Regions from separate parts of the Mus musculus genome. Here all the other regions are reported to be linked to region 5. Evidence: microRNA targets listed by miRTarBase, many of them from high-throughput screens and not tested one by one. Region 5 holds a microRNA gene; each other region holds the end of a gene's coding sequence.
The links. The annotated mature microRNA mmu-miR-344d-3p reads GAUAUAACCACUGCCAGACUGA and lies in region 5 at 2,182-2,203, opposite strand. An mRNA with a match to its seed (bases 2 to 7 or 8) in the 3' UTR can be bound and repressed. Matches are read on the target gene's strand: a 7mer-m8 pairs with bases 2 to 8, a 7mer-A1 pairs with bases 2 to 7 and ends in A, and an 8mer does both.

Region 1 (3,000 bases), not on the chromosome of region 5:
CAGCCCGCAACCCCCACTTGCCTCCGTTCAAAGCAGTTCAACCAGCGCAAACTCGCCTGTTGCTGTGAGGAGCCTTCCTTTCAGCTCAAGGGGCAGCCTGAGTCCTTTCCCTGGGGGCCTATCTAGTGAGCTGGCTTTTATCTGAAGCCGGCTCCAGACTGCAACTTGTCCCTGACCAGCAATAGAAGCCTGAAGGCAGGGGCCTGGAAAGACTTTGAAAGGGCCTGGATTGGGCCTCCAGACCCTGTGGCCAGACCTTCTCCAATGGGGGTCCTGGGAGAGGGTTGCACCCCTATCGCCCTCTCACTCTTTGCCTCTCTCCTTCCTTAGGTGGCCAACGCACCCGCAAAAAGCGCTGCCCTTATACCAAATACCAGATCCGAGAGCTGGAGCGAGAGTTCTTCTTCAGCGTCTACATCAACAAAGAGAAGCGTCTGCAACTGTCCCGCATGCTCAACCTCACCGACCGTCAAGTCAAAATCTGGTTTCAGAACAGAAGAATGAAGGAAAAAAAGATTAACAGAGACCGGTTACAGTACTACTCAGCTAATCCACTTCTCTAAGGCTCCAGCCTACTGGAATTGGGAGGGGGGCTTCATACATGTGAAATAATATGCAGATTTTGCCCTTGACAAGGTCAAGCCACATTGCGACTTGGAAAAGGGGGGTGATATAGGAGAGAGGAGAGGTTTCCTTATCAGAGATTCGTCCAATAGGAAGGGGGCCTGAAACTCTCTTGGTTCAGATCTCCGTGGTTAAGCTTCCTATTAGTAATTGAATTCTAAGGGTTGTGAATCAACAGAATGAATGGTTTGGGACCCCTGGTGGTTCACTCTTAGAGCCTGCAAAAGCTTTGAGCTGGGTGTGGTCACTGGAGATTGGGCCCCCTGCCAAACCCTAAGGAGGCCACCCGCTCAAGACCCTCTGCACAGAGCCTGCCCACCCCCAGGTCTCCCAAGTCAAGAAACTGTGTGCCCCAAGCCTAGTTCAGCTTGGGGATAGGAGCAGGAGGAAAGGGGATGACTCCTAGAGATTCAGGCTGGGGTTGCTTTCCAAAAGTAATGTGAAAGACAGTTAACCAAAAGGTGGCTGTGAAAAGGGAGAGAGAGTGGGAGGGGGGTGTCCTGGAGGAAGGAGAAACCTATCCAGATGTCATTAATATCATCCCACCACTGATCTGCACCCAAACCTGAGCTCCTAGCAGCCACCTTCTGCAGCCTACCTGGGTTTTCTACCTCCCAATGGTGGTGATGGGTCTTCCATCTCAGAGCTGACTATTCCTAGGGTAGAAGACATTGAAAACTCCAGAGGCTGTGCTGGTTCCTGGCCCCTCAATCTCTACAGGAAATGCCTGCGGAGGGCTACAGTTTGGCAAACTCTTCACCACATTAAGGAAACTTGGATTTGGTGTCTGTCAGGCAGCAGAGCAGCAGGCCTGGCCAGTGGGTCCTTGGCCTTTGGCTGTGAGGGGCTGAAGTTCCCCCCCCCCTCCCAAATCCCTCATTCCTACCCTGCACTCTGTGCTCATCAACTCAGAACTGAGCTTGGAAGCTTCTGGCAATCTTCTAAGAGCCGGAGAGTGATTTGGAGCTATTTTAAAAGATAAATATTATATTATATATATATATTTCCCCGAAGGAACCAAAGCGAATTTTAAGAAGCAATGTAGAGGGGGGGGTGGGGATAATAAAAATATTTAAAGGCTCTATCTGTTTACAGTGTTCCAAGGTTAAACTCGCTCACTGCTAAAATATTTGAATGTATGCTTCATACAGGGATGGTGTTCAAAAGACTGTAAATAAAGAAACCATAACCTACTGTGTTTCAATACTCCTTTCCCTATCCCCATTAGCTGACTTATTTGAGGGTGCTGGGGAGAGTGGTCTGGGGATGGTCTTTTAATCTCTTACAACACTGTGACATTTGGAAAGGGCTGGCATACTGAGAGCCAGACTACTAAGACCTGAGAATGTCCTCTGGGGAGCCAGGCGCTCTCCAAATGAATCTCTTCTGCCTCCCTGCCTTAAGAAATCCCTGGTGGTTCTGTCTGTAGTGAGCGCCTTTGGCCGGCCCTTACTCAACATACATTTCCTATACATTTTAACACAGAGAGAGACAATGGGGCATACCAAGAATAAAAAGGGTAGACATTTGAGTATCGAGTCCTGGTGTGACATTTCTCTCTCCCTGTTCCGCTTTTTCCTGCCAAATGTCTCCCCTCAGCTAGCATCCTTTTAGCAGTAAAAGGGGTGAGTTACCACGCCCCCGAGAGGTGATGGAATCAGGATTGAGCTGCAATTGAAGCTAAGCATAGGAAGCCTGAGGCTATACGTCCTTGTGGAAGGCAGCATATTAGGGATGGGATATGTCAGGGCCTATGGTGTGAGACCTCTCTCCAACTGACCTTAGCTCCGGAGAAGGCCTTGTGGGTAACTGCAATAGCCAATGGCCTAACCCAGGCTAATCTTGCTCACCTCAGGACTGAATAAAAACCCTCTGGGTGTACCTTGTGAGTCCTTTCAGCATGAGAGATCTGGCTCTAGGTACCAAGGCAGAGCTAGGAGTCTCTCGGGAACCTCTAAGAGTGCTTCCTCTCCAGCTTCCTCTCGGTCCCCTTGGGCAAGGAAAGATACGGACTCGGTCTTTGTTTGCTGCCTTTGAACTTCTGCCTTAAATTTGGACATCACCCATAACCTTGAGGGGCAGGGCAGAAAGGACAGAGCCTTTTGTTGCCCACCCCACCCTCTTTCAGCCACCCAGGCAGACCCAAAGCAGCAAAGAGGGTCTCATTTGGAAAGAGACCCTAGGCTCCAAGAGCCTGCCCTGTTTATTTGTTTGTGTGTTTGTCTAGCTGGCGCGACAGGGGTGGAGAAAGCGAGCTTTCTGAAAGGGGAGAGGGACAGACCCTCTAGATGAATGTCTTTGGTTGATCGACAGACACACTGAGAAGCACAAGGGCCCTCCTGGGGGGCGAAAGGGGGCGGGCAGGGAAGCTCGGTT
Region 2 (3,000 bases), not on the chromosome of region 5:
TATATATATATATATATATATATATATGTATATATATATATATATATCACATGTGGCTGGTGTCTGCAGAGGTCAAGACAGGGGTGCTGGATCCCCCGGCACTCAATTTACAGGTGGTCGCAAACCACCACATGGGTACATGTGGTCCTGGATCCAAACCTGGGTCCTGTACAATAGCAATGGGTACTCCTACCTGTTAAACCATTTTAGGCCCAAAGAATGCTCTTTAATGAGCTATCTCCAAGTGATTGTGGTATATATTGACATTGGAGAACCACTGTCCCATTTGCTCACATATTAGTATAGAAAGCATCACTTCATTGGGTCATTTTCACATTTCTCCTTTTTATTTCTACCCACATTGCCATATGCATGCTTTCATTATCTTATCTATGTATTTAAAGAAGGCTTTCCAAATCCCACTGTAAACATTAAAGATGAGAACAGGCTAAAGCAGACCTCTCTATTCTATTGGTCTTTTTATTTAGAGTCTAGAATATCTACCTAGAAGATTTCTTCTTTGCATGAATACAGCTTCTAAAACTACTCCCATGATGTTCTTTTCAGTTCATATGAACATAGGCTACTTAAAAACATGGTATTTTCAACTTAATGAAAAGTACTTATTTCTCAATTGGGAATAATAAACCAAGACAGTGTGAGACTGATCCTGGAAGATATTTCTTTATCTTTAGTTGTTGTTTCCTTTTATCTATCTATTTATTTAGATTATTTATTTTATTTATTTTATCTATCTATCTATCTATTTATTATTTTTGAGTCAATAGCTCTCTACGTAATCTAAAGGGATATATCCTAACACCTGACACTGGAAGACATTTTAAGATTTATTCATTTATTATATGTAAGTATATTGTAGCTGTCAGACATTCCAGAAGAGGGCATCAGATTTTGTTACAGATGATTGTGAGCCACCAAGTGGTTGCTGGGATTTGAACTCAGAGCCTTCGGAAGAGCAGTCGGTGCTCTTAACCACTGAGCCATCTCGCTAGCCCTGGAAGACAGACCATGAAGTATAGGAGCAATGAGATGAGTCTATAGTGTTGTGTATCTCTAAACACATGTTTGTGTCCTGTTTTGTGCTAATGGGAACTGAAAAGGTTTGAAGCTATGGCAATTCTAGTTAATGTTTTAAGGTCCATTCCTATTTGGAATATGTAAATAAAATAGTAACCACTGTTGGACGTCAAAATTTTTCATCTCGTAAATCTTACTTTCTATCCAGGTTTTATTCATTCATTCTCTAGTTGCTTCCTAGAACTACTTTTAATCTTTCAACATTTTATTTATTCAGTCTCTGTGTATATGTTTATACATGTGGGCACATACGGACAACCTCCAAGAAACAGTCTTGACCTTCCACTCTATAGTTTGTGGAAATCAAACTCAGCTCACCTGGCCTGGCTGTGAGGGCTTTGACCCACTGAGCTTGCCCTGGAGACTTTCAATCTAGATCAGGCCTGGATTACTAATATAGCATCTCCAACGGCTGTCAGTTTATACAGTATAGATAAATTACTTTTTAAACATTGAAGTCACATACCCATCCTGCTCAGTAGCTTCTTGTGTTTTCCTTGTTACTGTAAAATTCAGATATCACAGATATCAGACACTTAAACTCTTCCCTGGAACTTGAGGCTAAAATCTGTCTCCATTTTTTTTCTTTTTCCTTTTAAAGATTTATTTATTTAATTGATAATGAGTACACTGTAGCTGTCTTTAGACTCACCAGAAAAGGGCATCAGATCCCATTACAGATGGTTGTGAGCCACCATGTGGTTGCTGGGAATTGAACTCAGGACCTCTAGAAGAACAGTAGGTGCTTAACCACTGAGCCATCTCTCCAGCCCTGTTCATTCTTTAGTGAACTTTATTTTATACTTTTTCCTAGGAAGCAAGTTCCATTTTTTTTTAGTATAAATGTAATTTTTTGCCCTTAGTGAAAAGCTCAGGATACAAGAAAAAGAAACACAGACACTGGAATCCCTAACAGCAGAAGTTTATTTACATTGAAGTGAAGTTAAGGTATATATATATATATATATATATATATATATATATATATATATATAATTTTTTGAAACAAGATCTTGATATACATCCCTGGCCTGGACCTCCCTATGTAGACAGGCTGGCCTTAAACTTGCAGCAATCCTCTTGCCTCTGTTTCCCAAATGCTGGGATCACAGGCATGAGCTACCTTGCCTGGCTGAGTTACAGAATATTTTTAATTCATGCTGAGAAAACAGTAATACTTCAAACTTACATGTATATATTTGATAATGAATACAAGAGGTGCTGGGAAAGACTTTGGCATACACAACTATTAAAAGCAGGTTATCAGAACACTTAAACACCATTAGAGTCATGTTATCAGAACACTTACATATATCGCCTACGTATACATTACATCAACATCATAGACACCTCATCTTCTAACTCCTCACGCTATTTGAATAAATAGCATTCAAAGATAAACGTTAAGACTGGGGAGTAGAGAAGAAATACAGACGTGGTGGGCATCACAATATTTCAAATCCTACATATATGAATACAACAATAAAATTAAGAAACAGTGTTTCAATTTTTGTGTGAAACAATATTCAGCAATGTTTAGCGCATGAGAAGACACTGTTTTGGTCCATCCACTCTCTCCAGCTTTTCAAAGTGTTTTCTGGCATTGCGGATGTTGATCAGAGTAGCTGCAGAAGCTGAGGGTAGGGTGGGGAGACACCCAACAGAGTAAGAAAGGCAGTCAAAGGTATGTCTGTCTAGTAAAAGCAAATCAATTAAAAGATCCAAATCCTTCAGTGTGTGTCAGAGCATAGGAGCAGAAAGCCTCAAGCTATCAAGGATTTATATTTGTAAAGCAGATTTGTACATATCCTAAACATAAAACTTCACAATCTTTTGGTTTGAGACTAATAGAATAAACCTCAATAATTTATGTTACCTTTAAATATTAACCTAATATAAAAC
Region 3 (3,000 bases), not on the chromosome of region 5:
GGTATCTACATTTGCAAGTGTGTATGTGAGCTAGTGTGCCTAACTTTATAATCCTAGCAGTAAGGAGGCCAAGACAAGATTCCAGGCCAGCCAGAGCTACAGAGTATAAGCCTTTGTCTGGGGCGATGGGGTGTGTGTGGGGGGGAGGGGGGGTAGGAGGTACCCAGTCTGGGGAAGCAGTACTAGCCACGAGTCCCAGCCGCTGAAGTGGAGGGTAACTGGAGTCCAGGTGACTGAGACCAGTCAGGTGAGCAATGTAACAAGACGGTCTCAGAGGAAAAAGGAGATTTCTCTCAAGGTAATTTGAACATAAAGGGGAAAAGGAATAAAAACACAAGTAATTTAGCTTTCAAAAGAGCATAATAAAATAAGATTTTCAATAAGTTTAATACAATAAATAAATGTGGGAGTATAGCGTTCGAGGGCCTTCCATCTGATTGTTTTCTACAGTAATGAGAAATCCATCAGACTTTCTTCCTATATATTCTGACAGAACCTGCACCTATGGCATGAAACAGCCCTCCCTTTTAACATGCCAGGGTCACAGGCTTGCACACTCAGGTCCCAAAAGCCCCTCTCCCAATACTCTAATGAACACACACAAAGCTTCTACCATCGGGGTTTAGAAATATGCCTTAAAACTCATCTCATTTCTCCCATTCTCTGTGTGTTTCTCTGAAGAGGCTTTTTCTTGACTGAGCCATAGGTACTAACCTTGTTCCCTCTGCTCTGGTGTCAGGTGCTCAGGCTTGGTAGACTCTGAGCCCCCCACTCCCTCTCCAGCCTTGGTAGACTCTGAGCCCCCCACTCCCTCTCCAGCCTTGGTAGACTCTGAGCCCCCCACTCCCTCTCCAGCCTTGGTAGACTGAGCCCCCCACTCCCTCTCCAGCCTTGGTAGACTCTGAGCCCCCCACTCCCTCTCCAGCCTTGGTAGACTCTGAGCCCCCCACTCCCTCTCCAGCCTTGGTAGACTCTGAGCCCCCCACTCCCTCTCCAGCCTTGGTAGACTCTGAGCCCCCACTCCCTCTCTGGGCTCTCTGGCTGCCCCAGTGCTCCTAGCTGGCTGCTTTCATGTCCCCTTTCTGAGGAAGTCTGCAGAGACAGCGGAGATGCTTAGGTCTTCTATTAACGTTAACACAGCAGCCAGCTATTACAGGACTCTTCTTGTATCCCTCCTGGGATTAGTTGTGGGAGGAGACCAAGAAACCAAAAGCAGCCCCCCCCCCCCCCCCAGCACTGCTGCAAAGCAAGTAACTCAAGTAACTCAGACAGGCAGAGGCCACACCCACCGCCTGCTGGCACAGGACACACCCACCGCCTGCTGGCACAGGATACTGGTCATTTGTGCTGGAGCTTGGGTAGCCGGGAATCCAGGCTCAGCTTGGGATTCATCACCCACCCTACACACTGCTGCACTTCTCTTGTAAGCTCAGTGAGTTTAGAAGGAAGGAAATGTGGGGGTGGGGTGGGGCAGCACGTGGGGGACAGCGCACAGCGTGCAAACCAGCATACAGCATAGGATACAACAGAAACCCTAAGGAAAGTTTTTTTCCATCCAAACAGTCCGACTATTTCTTATCATAACTTTCCTGCTTTTGTTAGAATTTCTTTCCAGACTGGCAAAGATTCAGGCAGGGTCCCCTGATGGTAAAAGTTAGATTAAAAAAATATTTATTGATGTTTCTTTTAAAAATGTTTGGTGACCCCAACTAATTCATCCAAAATGCAAACTGTAAACACAACAAATAGCAACATAGTAACAATCGAGTGGGCAGCATCCTGAGGACAGACTGAAGGAGAGGGGGAGGGAGAGAGAGACAGAGAGAGAGACAGAGAGAGCGCGAGCGAGCGCGGGTGGCAGTGAGCGAGAGAACCGGGTGCAGTGACATACAGTGACAAACTGAGCAGATAAGAAAAGGAATTCTATTTGGACCCCAGTGATTTCAATGCAGCCGCTAAAAAAACCTCTGGGTCAAATACTCAAACACCAGATGAAAGGATGAGTTTCTCTGTGAACATGCTCAGCATGTCAGCACGGGAACAAGGAAGCCCACGAGTCTCCCAATGGATGGCTACCATTTCTAGGATGTGGAGAAGTTTTCTTTCTGGTCCCTGGATAAATCATATATTGTTTTCCATGCTACCTCTCACCTTGGAGGATCATAGTTACTGTTCCAAACCCCCCACAGAAACCCCTTAATAAAATGAAGAAACCACAGAAGCAGTAACACTGGGCTCTGCTGGAATGTCCCCTCCCTCTACCGTGGCCTGCGATTGTTTCTGGGCATGTCCAACAGGAATGCTTAGGTTTTACCAACCCACTTGTTACAGCCGGCATGAACTTCAGAGCCATGGTCCCAGAACCACAGCAGATGGGGTGAGGACGCCTGTGCCTGTGTATGTGCGGCTCTGGGGATCTGGACGCTGCCCTCACTTTGTAACCCTTGCCCAGAATGCTGGGGTCGCTTCCACCGGAGAGACTCCACGGTATGTCTAGAAGTGTCATTAAATACTCAGTTCAACATGGTGGGCCACCCCGCTGTCATAGGATGATGCAGCACCTGCAGAAGCGCTGTCTGCTGCCCCCGACTGATGGGGGCGGAGTGACAGGGGCGAAGTAGGCGTGGACTTTAATGTTGGGTAAATGGGTCTGAAACAAGACAGAAAACATTATGAGAGAGTGCTTACAGAGGGCGAGATCACAACGCTGCCTCTTAGAGAAACCAAGGGGCTGACTGCTGAGAGCAGGGATGCTAAGCTCCCCTAGGATGCACAAAGGCCGGGCTTTACTCTCTTCTATAGAGGGGAAGGGAATGAAAACAAGTTAATTTCTCATCTTGTCCCAAAGGGACTCCCAGTTAGGATCCCATGGCTGGAAGAAGCTAGGCAACTTTAAAACAATTTACTTATTGAATCAAAACATGTTTCTAGTCTTTATCTGAATACTTATGAGGTTTAAGACATGTGAGAGGGTCCAAAAGCGGGGATCCTACCTTTAGA
Region 4 (3,000 bases), not on the chromosome of region 5:
TTACGTATTGGTTTTTGTTTTTTTTTAATTATCTTTTTTATTTACAAATCAGACGTTGCCACACCTCCAGTCTCCTACCACAGTTCTTCTTTTAGCCTCCCCCTACCCCCTTCTTTTCTTTTTCATTTTACTTTAAAACAAACGACTCTTTCCCAAAGCCAGTTTTTCTCTTTGAAACATGCTAGTATATACTGTTCATTAGTAGGTAATTAAGAATGCTCTTATTTTTCTTACACAGGTTTAAGAAACGAATGCTAATAGAACAACTGGAGAACTTCTTGGATGAAATTCATCGAAGAGCCAATCAAATCAACCATATTAATAGCAATTAAAAGAAAATAGAATGAGGCCACTTATTTCATTGTCTTCTCCAAATACAAAGTAAATACAAGACTGTTGTAATCTTGTATTCATTCTTTGACATGCATTGTTGGCTATTTGAGATACTAAAAACATTCTACAGTTCCTTTCCATCATTTTACAGTGCCCTTTTCATTTTAGCTTACTTTTGTAAAGTGAAAAGTATCACAAATTTTTTTTCTTTCTTCCCTTTTTTCTTTTTCTTTCTTTCTTTTTTTTAACCAACTAAAACTATTCTTCAAATCCTCTGCTTGTCATTGGCTCTTGCGTGTCAGTTTCCCTCAGGTTATATTTTCTTAAACCAACCTTTAAAATTGTCAGCTCTGTTAAGGTTGAACTTTGCCAAAAAAAGAAAAAAAAAGAAAAAAAATTAAAAACAAGTTACTTTGTAATTTTTGGGGAAAAAAAGCACATACATTAAAAACTAGGTAATGTTTTGTATATACAGTTATTTTGGATATATTATTGTAAGTTGTACAAATGTATTTTGAAGAATATTTAAGAAAAGCACTTTTGTTATTCCATCAATAAATGCTCTATTTTACTCTTGTGTGGTTTAGGAAATAATCACATTTAAAGTAACTACTTAAAAACATTCTAAAACAATGGAATTTTAAAGGCCTTGCTTTTTAGCATTAAAAAATACACAACTTAATATTTGTTAAACTAATGTAATTATATGTTACATAGCCTGCATTGTCTTTTTAACTATTATATGTTCTTAGTTTTTGTTGGCCATGCCAATATACTCCACTCTTGCCTGGATAATGGTAATACTTACTAGGTCTGTGGCAGATAGACAGATGGGCAGTTTTTTTTAAAAACAGTTTTAAAAGTAGATGAGTTGGGGCATTATTGGCTTCTTAACACCTTTCAACCTTTCTTACAGGATTTAGATGGCACTCTAGCTGTTAGTTAAGGTGTGATAGCTTTAGGGTATATCATATTTGGAGAAGGCTAGTATGCCGACATTTGGTCCCCTCCCTCCCCCGATGCTTAGGTGAGTTTATAATATGATAATTCAGAGTGGATCTCTTGGTTCTGCTCCCTGATTCTCAGAATCTAACTGGAGAGGAAACAGACTTAGACGGCTGTACTCATTTCTTTCCCCCTTATTTGCACAGGATGAGGATATCTGGCACTCCATTCTCCATCCTCACAGGGCTGCACATCTTTACTAAGGATGTGACCATGTGTCCTGACTCATGCACATATTCATAGATCACTGCCGTGCCTTTTAGTGGTTTGGAGGGAACCAGTAGAAAAGGTTAGAGTTTTTAGATTTGGAATAACCAAGGTGAAAAAAAATACCCTTTAAATTATTTTTTTAATTGAATTATTTTTAGATTAATAATATTTGGAAATCACATACTCTTAAAAGAAATTGTAAATATTTATGAAGGAAAGCATACATAGAGAAAACATTCTTGAGGTCTGCTATTTTAGTCAAGGGGATTTGAAACTCTTCCGATACTGAAGACAAACCCTGTAAAGAAAAAGAAACATTTCATGTGACTTGTGGTATTTTCATAAAACAATTCATTAAACATTTCTAACGTCTTCACAATTTCTGGAAGTAAATGAAGATATAATTTAGAGATGGAATTATTAAAATAATTGCCTGTAATCACACTGCTAAATTTATACCAAACTATACAAAATCCAGATTAACTTTGTGGTTGTGAATTATGTGTATTAAGAGTGAGATCAGTGGGAACACTGGAGTCATTTAGATAGGAATTATATTTAGTCAGCACATGGGGGCTGTCCTTGGAAGGGTCTTTATGTCATAAGCATGGTGGAATAATTCTCAGATCTTCTTCCTTTACTACAATTTCCAAAATGAACCCCCAAGGAGTGTAAAATAACAGGATCTTCTGTGTCTGTGTTCTACCCTTCTCCCTTTCCCCACTCCTCCTCTCTGTTCCTTTCTCTGTCTGGCATAATACTGTTTACATTTCTAATACTAAAACTTAGTCTGAAAATTTGCAGCCTATCAAAAACTAAAGCTTAAGATTCCATCCACCTCAGGCTTTTGCCTTTCAAAGATGGTGGGCAAGTTAGTCAAGCTAGTGAAGTTTCTACAGAATCCTTGTTAGCCAAGGCAAGGGAGGATATATTTGGGGATGGGTATTTTATTCTTTGAGATCGTGGAATGATGTTGTGTTGGACAAGTGCTCTCCAAAGGGTTAATGTTAGAGTTCTAATTTTCCTTAATGTTCCCCTATGTGTCCTATTTGTTAGTTGATTCATTCATCAGTATAAGACTTGTAAGCTTTTAACAGTGAAGGCCGAGACTTTTTTTAGGTTATTTTTATTTTAAGAGTTTTGTCTACATGTATGTAAGTGCACTACATGCGGGCCTAGTGCTTGTAGAAGCCCAAAGAGAAGAGAGTGTGAGATTCCCTGGAACTGGAGCTGCAGACTCCTAGGAGTTTCCATGTGGGTGCTGGGAAGCAAATGCTCTTAACCATGGCCATCTTCTAGCCCCAGCTGAAGGGTCTAAGGGATTTAAAAATCCCTTAAGTGATATCAGAAAATTATCCACTTTGCCTTGGGTAATGTGAACAACCATCATCCAGAAAACTAAAAAGCTACAAGGACGGAGACTGGTGAGTTAGGGAACTGGTTTTTTTATTA
Region 5 (3,213 bases):
AAATTCTTCCCAGAAGACAAGTTTATTTGCTCTCCTTGCTTTTGATTGATGCATTCAAATGATAAATGAATCTGATCCAATCAGGAGAGTAATCTCATATCTAGGATTGGACATCAAATCCTGCTGAAATCTTGGAGATCTCCATCAGTGCTGCTGATTCGTACATCAAATCCTCCTCCCTGGGTTCCCTTATGGAAATATAAAAAAATTGAACGTGGATAGCAGCAAAAAAGTTTTAAATCAATGGAGGAGTGACAGAAGGGACTGAAGGATCTATAGGCCTTTGCATCTTCATGGTGGGAGCTACAGTATCAACAACCCACACCCAGGAATTTCTAGGAGACTAGACCACCAACCAAAGAAAACACATGGAGGGACCCAGGGATATGGCTGCATATGTGGCAGAGGATGGACTTGATGGACCTCAGTACAAGGAGTGGTCCTTTGGCATGAGGGTGTTTGATGCCCCAGTGTAGGGAAGTGCCAGGATTGTAGGTGCTGCGGGCCCACTCCCATAGAGGCAAGGGGACAGGAGATAGGAATGGGGATTTCTTAAAGTGAGACCTGGAATAGGAATAACATTTGAATTGTAAATAATGAAAAGAAACCAATATAAAGAAATAAAAATCCTTGAACTTAGCCAGCAGCCTAATTGACCATATCTCCCCTTGCAGACAAATATATTTGCTCTATTTCTTCTAATAGATTGAGAATGTGCATTCAAATTGAGAATGGAAACAGGCCCAATCAGGAGAGAAATATCATATCTAGGCATGGACATCAAAACTTGCTGTAATATTGGAGAACTCTATCAGTCTGTTGATTCATTTCTTACCCCCTGCCTCTTCCCTAAGTTTCCTTATGGAAGTAGAAAAACCAAAAGTGAGTGGCAGAAAAACTATTTTTAACTACTTCTATCTACTATGACCAAGAGAAATACAAGTCAGTGAAATCCTGTAGATGTTCCTATTTGTGGCTTCTATTGCCTAGATCCAAGCCATTTGCCAAAGATGTTCTGTTTCTTTTTGAACCAAAAAGACTGTTACTTTTACCATGCAAATTTTCTGCTTGCTAACTAATACCAGGATTTCTGTGTCTCCTTCACTAATTGCTTCTGTTGTAAACTCTGATTATAGAATTTCTTAGAAAATGTAATATCTAATATTGTAAGCATAAGAGAGCTTTTAGAATTATAGTGCCACATTCTGCCCATGGATTTCTCCAAGCATACTTAGTTTGTATGAAATGCTGGAGTGTCTCATATAATTCCACACTATGTGGTGGAATTCAGTGCTAAAAACAATGTTTATATGATGTATTTGGTACAATTAATGGGGTTGTAAGGTGCCAGGATATTTTCTGATGCATGTATAGTTATAAGGCATTTAAGACTGTCAGGAATATCTTCACCACAGTAAGAGAATTTCATAAATATCTAGGTTATACCACAAAAACTGGATCACTAAAGACAGAATGCAAATGACCAGAAAAGCATATAGGTCTAGAGGTATCCACTAGTACAAGGTCACTATGAAAATAACTGTCTTCATTTTCTTCTTTTACATGCTGTAATACCAAGATAGAGGTCAGCAAAATATGATCTTGTGATTCCCTTAAAGGGCTCCTGACCCCCCGTGAACTGTGATGTAGCAAAAGCCAGACTTGGAAAAATGACCACCTAGACAATCTAATGAATTAAAACAATAACAACACTCTAAACTATGGTTGTACCTATGGATGCCTTTTGCGAACAATGGCAGTAGGTTAAAAGAATCACTCTCCGAAGAGTACTTTGATTCTGGGTACTATATGATATGACTCTGGATTTTTCTGAGTGTTCATGGTGATTAGTTGAGAATATTTACTGCCAAAGGATTTCTCTCAGTAGCTGAATGAAAGATGTGAAGATGCGAGATATTACCTAGTCTCTGTCACAAGCTGTAGCTTGAATTTTGTATTTTATTTTCAGAAGACACAGCTCAACATGAAACAAGGAAGTAACATTTCAAATCAAATACCTGAATTTCCCATAGGGGGGTGACAGCTACGATATGAAACATGGAGTTAAGCAACCAGTGCATGGAGACTGAAATAAATAAGCACAGGCTTCCCAGCTTACCACTGGCTCTGTCTGCTGACAGTGACACAGCACTCTCCACTCTCCCTTCTCTTTAGCACCATTCAGTCTGGCAGTGGTTATATCCAGGACCAGATAAGTCCTGGAGTATAACCACTAGCCTGACTGATGAAATCTTCCCCTGCAAACAAATTTATTTGCTCTCCTTGCTTCTGATTGATGGAGAATGTGTATTCAAATAGAGAATGGCATCAGATCCAATCAGGAAAGAGATTTTATAACTAGGCATGCACATCAAATCCTGCTGTTACCATGGTGATCTCATCAGTGCTGCTGATTCATGCCCCAACCCTTCCACCCTGACTTCCCTTAAGAAAGCAGAAATATTGATAAAAAGATATCAGAAAAAGCTGTTTTTTACATTCTTCTTACTATATTACCAACAAAAAAAAACGTCAGTAGAACCTTTGAGCAGAGCACTTCCTATTTTTGGTTCCTTCTATTTAGATCCAGAGAGTTTGCCAGAATACCTCTCTTTCATTTTGGGCTTTTTTGTTGCCTGCTGAATAATTGTGATGTGCCTATGTCTCCCTCAGTGATTGATTATGTTGTTTTCTCTGATTATAGCCTTTCCTATTACAACAATATTTAATAGGGTATCATCAAAGTGGTTTTGGAATACTAAGTGCAATATTCTTCCTATATCCTGCTCCACCAGTACTCAATTTATAAGTGACAGTGAAGTGTCTCATAGATATGCACAATATTAAGAGGAAAACTAGAGTTGAAAATACTGTTCATATACTTTGGATAATTCCAACAATACATAGTATGTAGGAAATTTTAAACTGTGCTTATAAAGAAGACATAATTTTTTTGATTTACATATAGTTGCAAATTGTTTACTACTGTTAGGAATATCTGAATGAAAATACTACATTTAGTAAATATCAAGGTTATACCACAGAGACCTGGATGCTAAAGACAGAGTAGAAATAACTGAAATAAATATAGGTCTCGAGAAAGCCACTAGTAAAAGGTCCCCATGAAAACTATTGTGTTTATTTCTTTTTTGTATTGCATATAATATAAAAATGGAGATGTTCAGGAGATGGATGATGAATTGGTTTTCCTAA

Region 1: the mRNA of Hoxa11 is a reported target of mmu-miR-344d-3p. Seed matches in the 3' UTR shown: 7mer-A1 at 1,615-1,621.
Region 2: the mRNA of Rragb is a reported target of mmu-miR-344d-3p. Seed matches in the 3' UTR shown: 7mer-A1 at 2,088-2,094.
Region 3: the mRNA of Fbxl20 is a reported target of mmu-miR-344d-3p. The part of its 3' UTR that is shown has no 7-base or 8-base seed match.
Region 4: the mRNA of Ints6 is a reported target of mmu-miR-344d-3p. The part of its 3' UTR that is shown has no 7-base or 8-base seed match.

What each region holds. Positions count from the first base shown.
Region 1 is chr6:52,240,923-52,243,922 of GRCm38, reverse strand. It overlaps Hoxa11 (homeobox A11), which reads left to right. Exons shown (of 2, transcript NM_010450.3): 2 at 331-1,818. The coding sequence ends at 563. LOC115490410 (a long non-coding RNA gene) reads right to left here and starts at 688. Exons shown (of 2, transcript XR_003956437.1): 1 at 602-688; 2 at 1-481.
Region 2 is chrX:153,170,948-153,173,947 of GRCm38, reverse strand. It overlaps Rragb (Ras-related GTP binding B), which reads right to left. Exons shown (of 11, transcript NM_001004154.2): 11 at 2,005-2,732. The coding sequence ends at 2,635. Among named protein-coding and RNA genes, the nearest start is that of Rragb, 32 kb to the right of the region's middle.
Region 3 is chr11:98,087,049-98,090,048 of GRCm38, forward strand. It overlaps Fbxl20 (F-box and leucine-rich repeat protein 20), which reads right to left. Exons shown (of 15, transcript NM_028149.1): 15 at 1-2,650. The coding sequence ends at 2,543. Among named protein-coding and RNA genes, the nearest start is that of Stac2, 35 kb to the left of the region's middle.
Region 4 is chr14:62,690,913-62,693,912 of GRCm38, reverse strand. Ints6 (integrator complex subunit 6) reads left to right here. Exons shown (of 19, transcript NM_008715.2): 18 at 239-381. The coding sequence ends at 332. It overlaps Serpine3 (serpin peptidase inhibitor, clade E (nexin, plasminogen activator inhibitor type 1), member 3), which reads right to left. Exons shown (of 9, transcript NM_001199945.1): 9 at 1,670-1,846. The coding sequence ends at 1,803. Among named protein-coding and RNA genes, the nearest start is that of Serpine3, 29 kb to the right of the region's middle.
Region 5 is chr7:61,724,075-61,727,287 of GRCm38, forward strand. It overlaps Mir344d-3 (microRNA 344d-3), which reads right to left and starts at 2,254; the gene lies at 2,175-2,254. The region is part of intron 6 of A230057D06Rik (RIKEN cDNA A230057D06 gene); the gene reads right to left.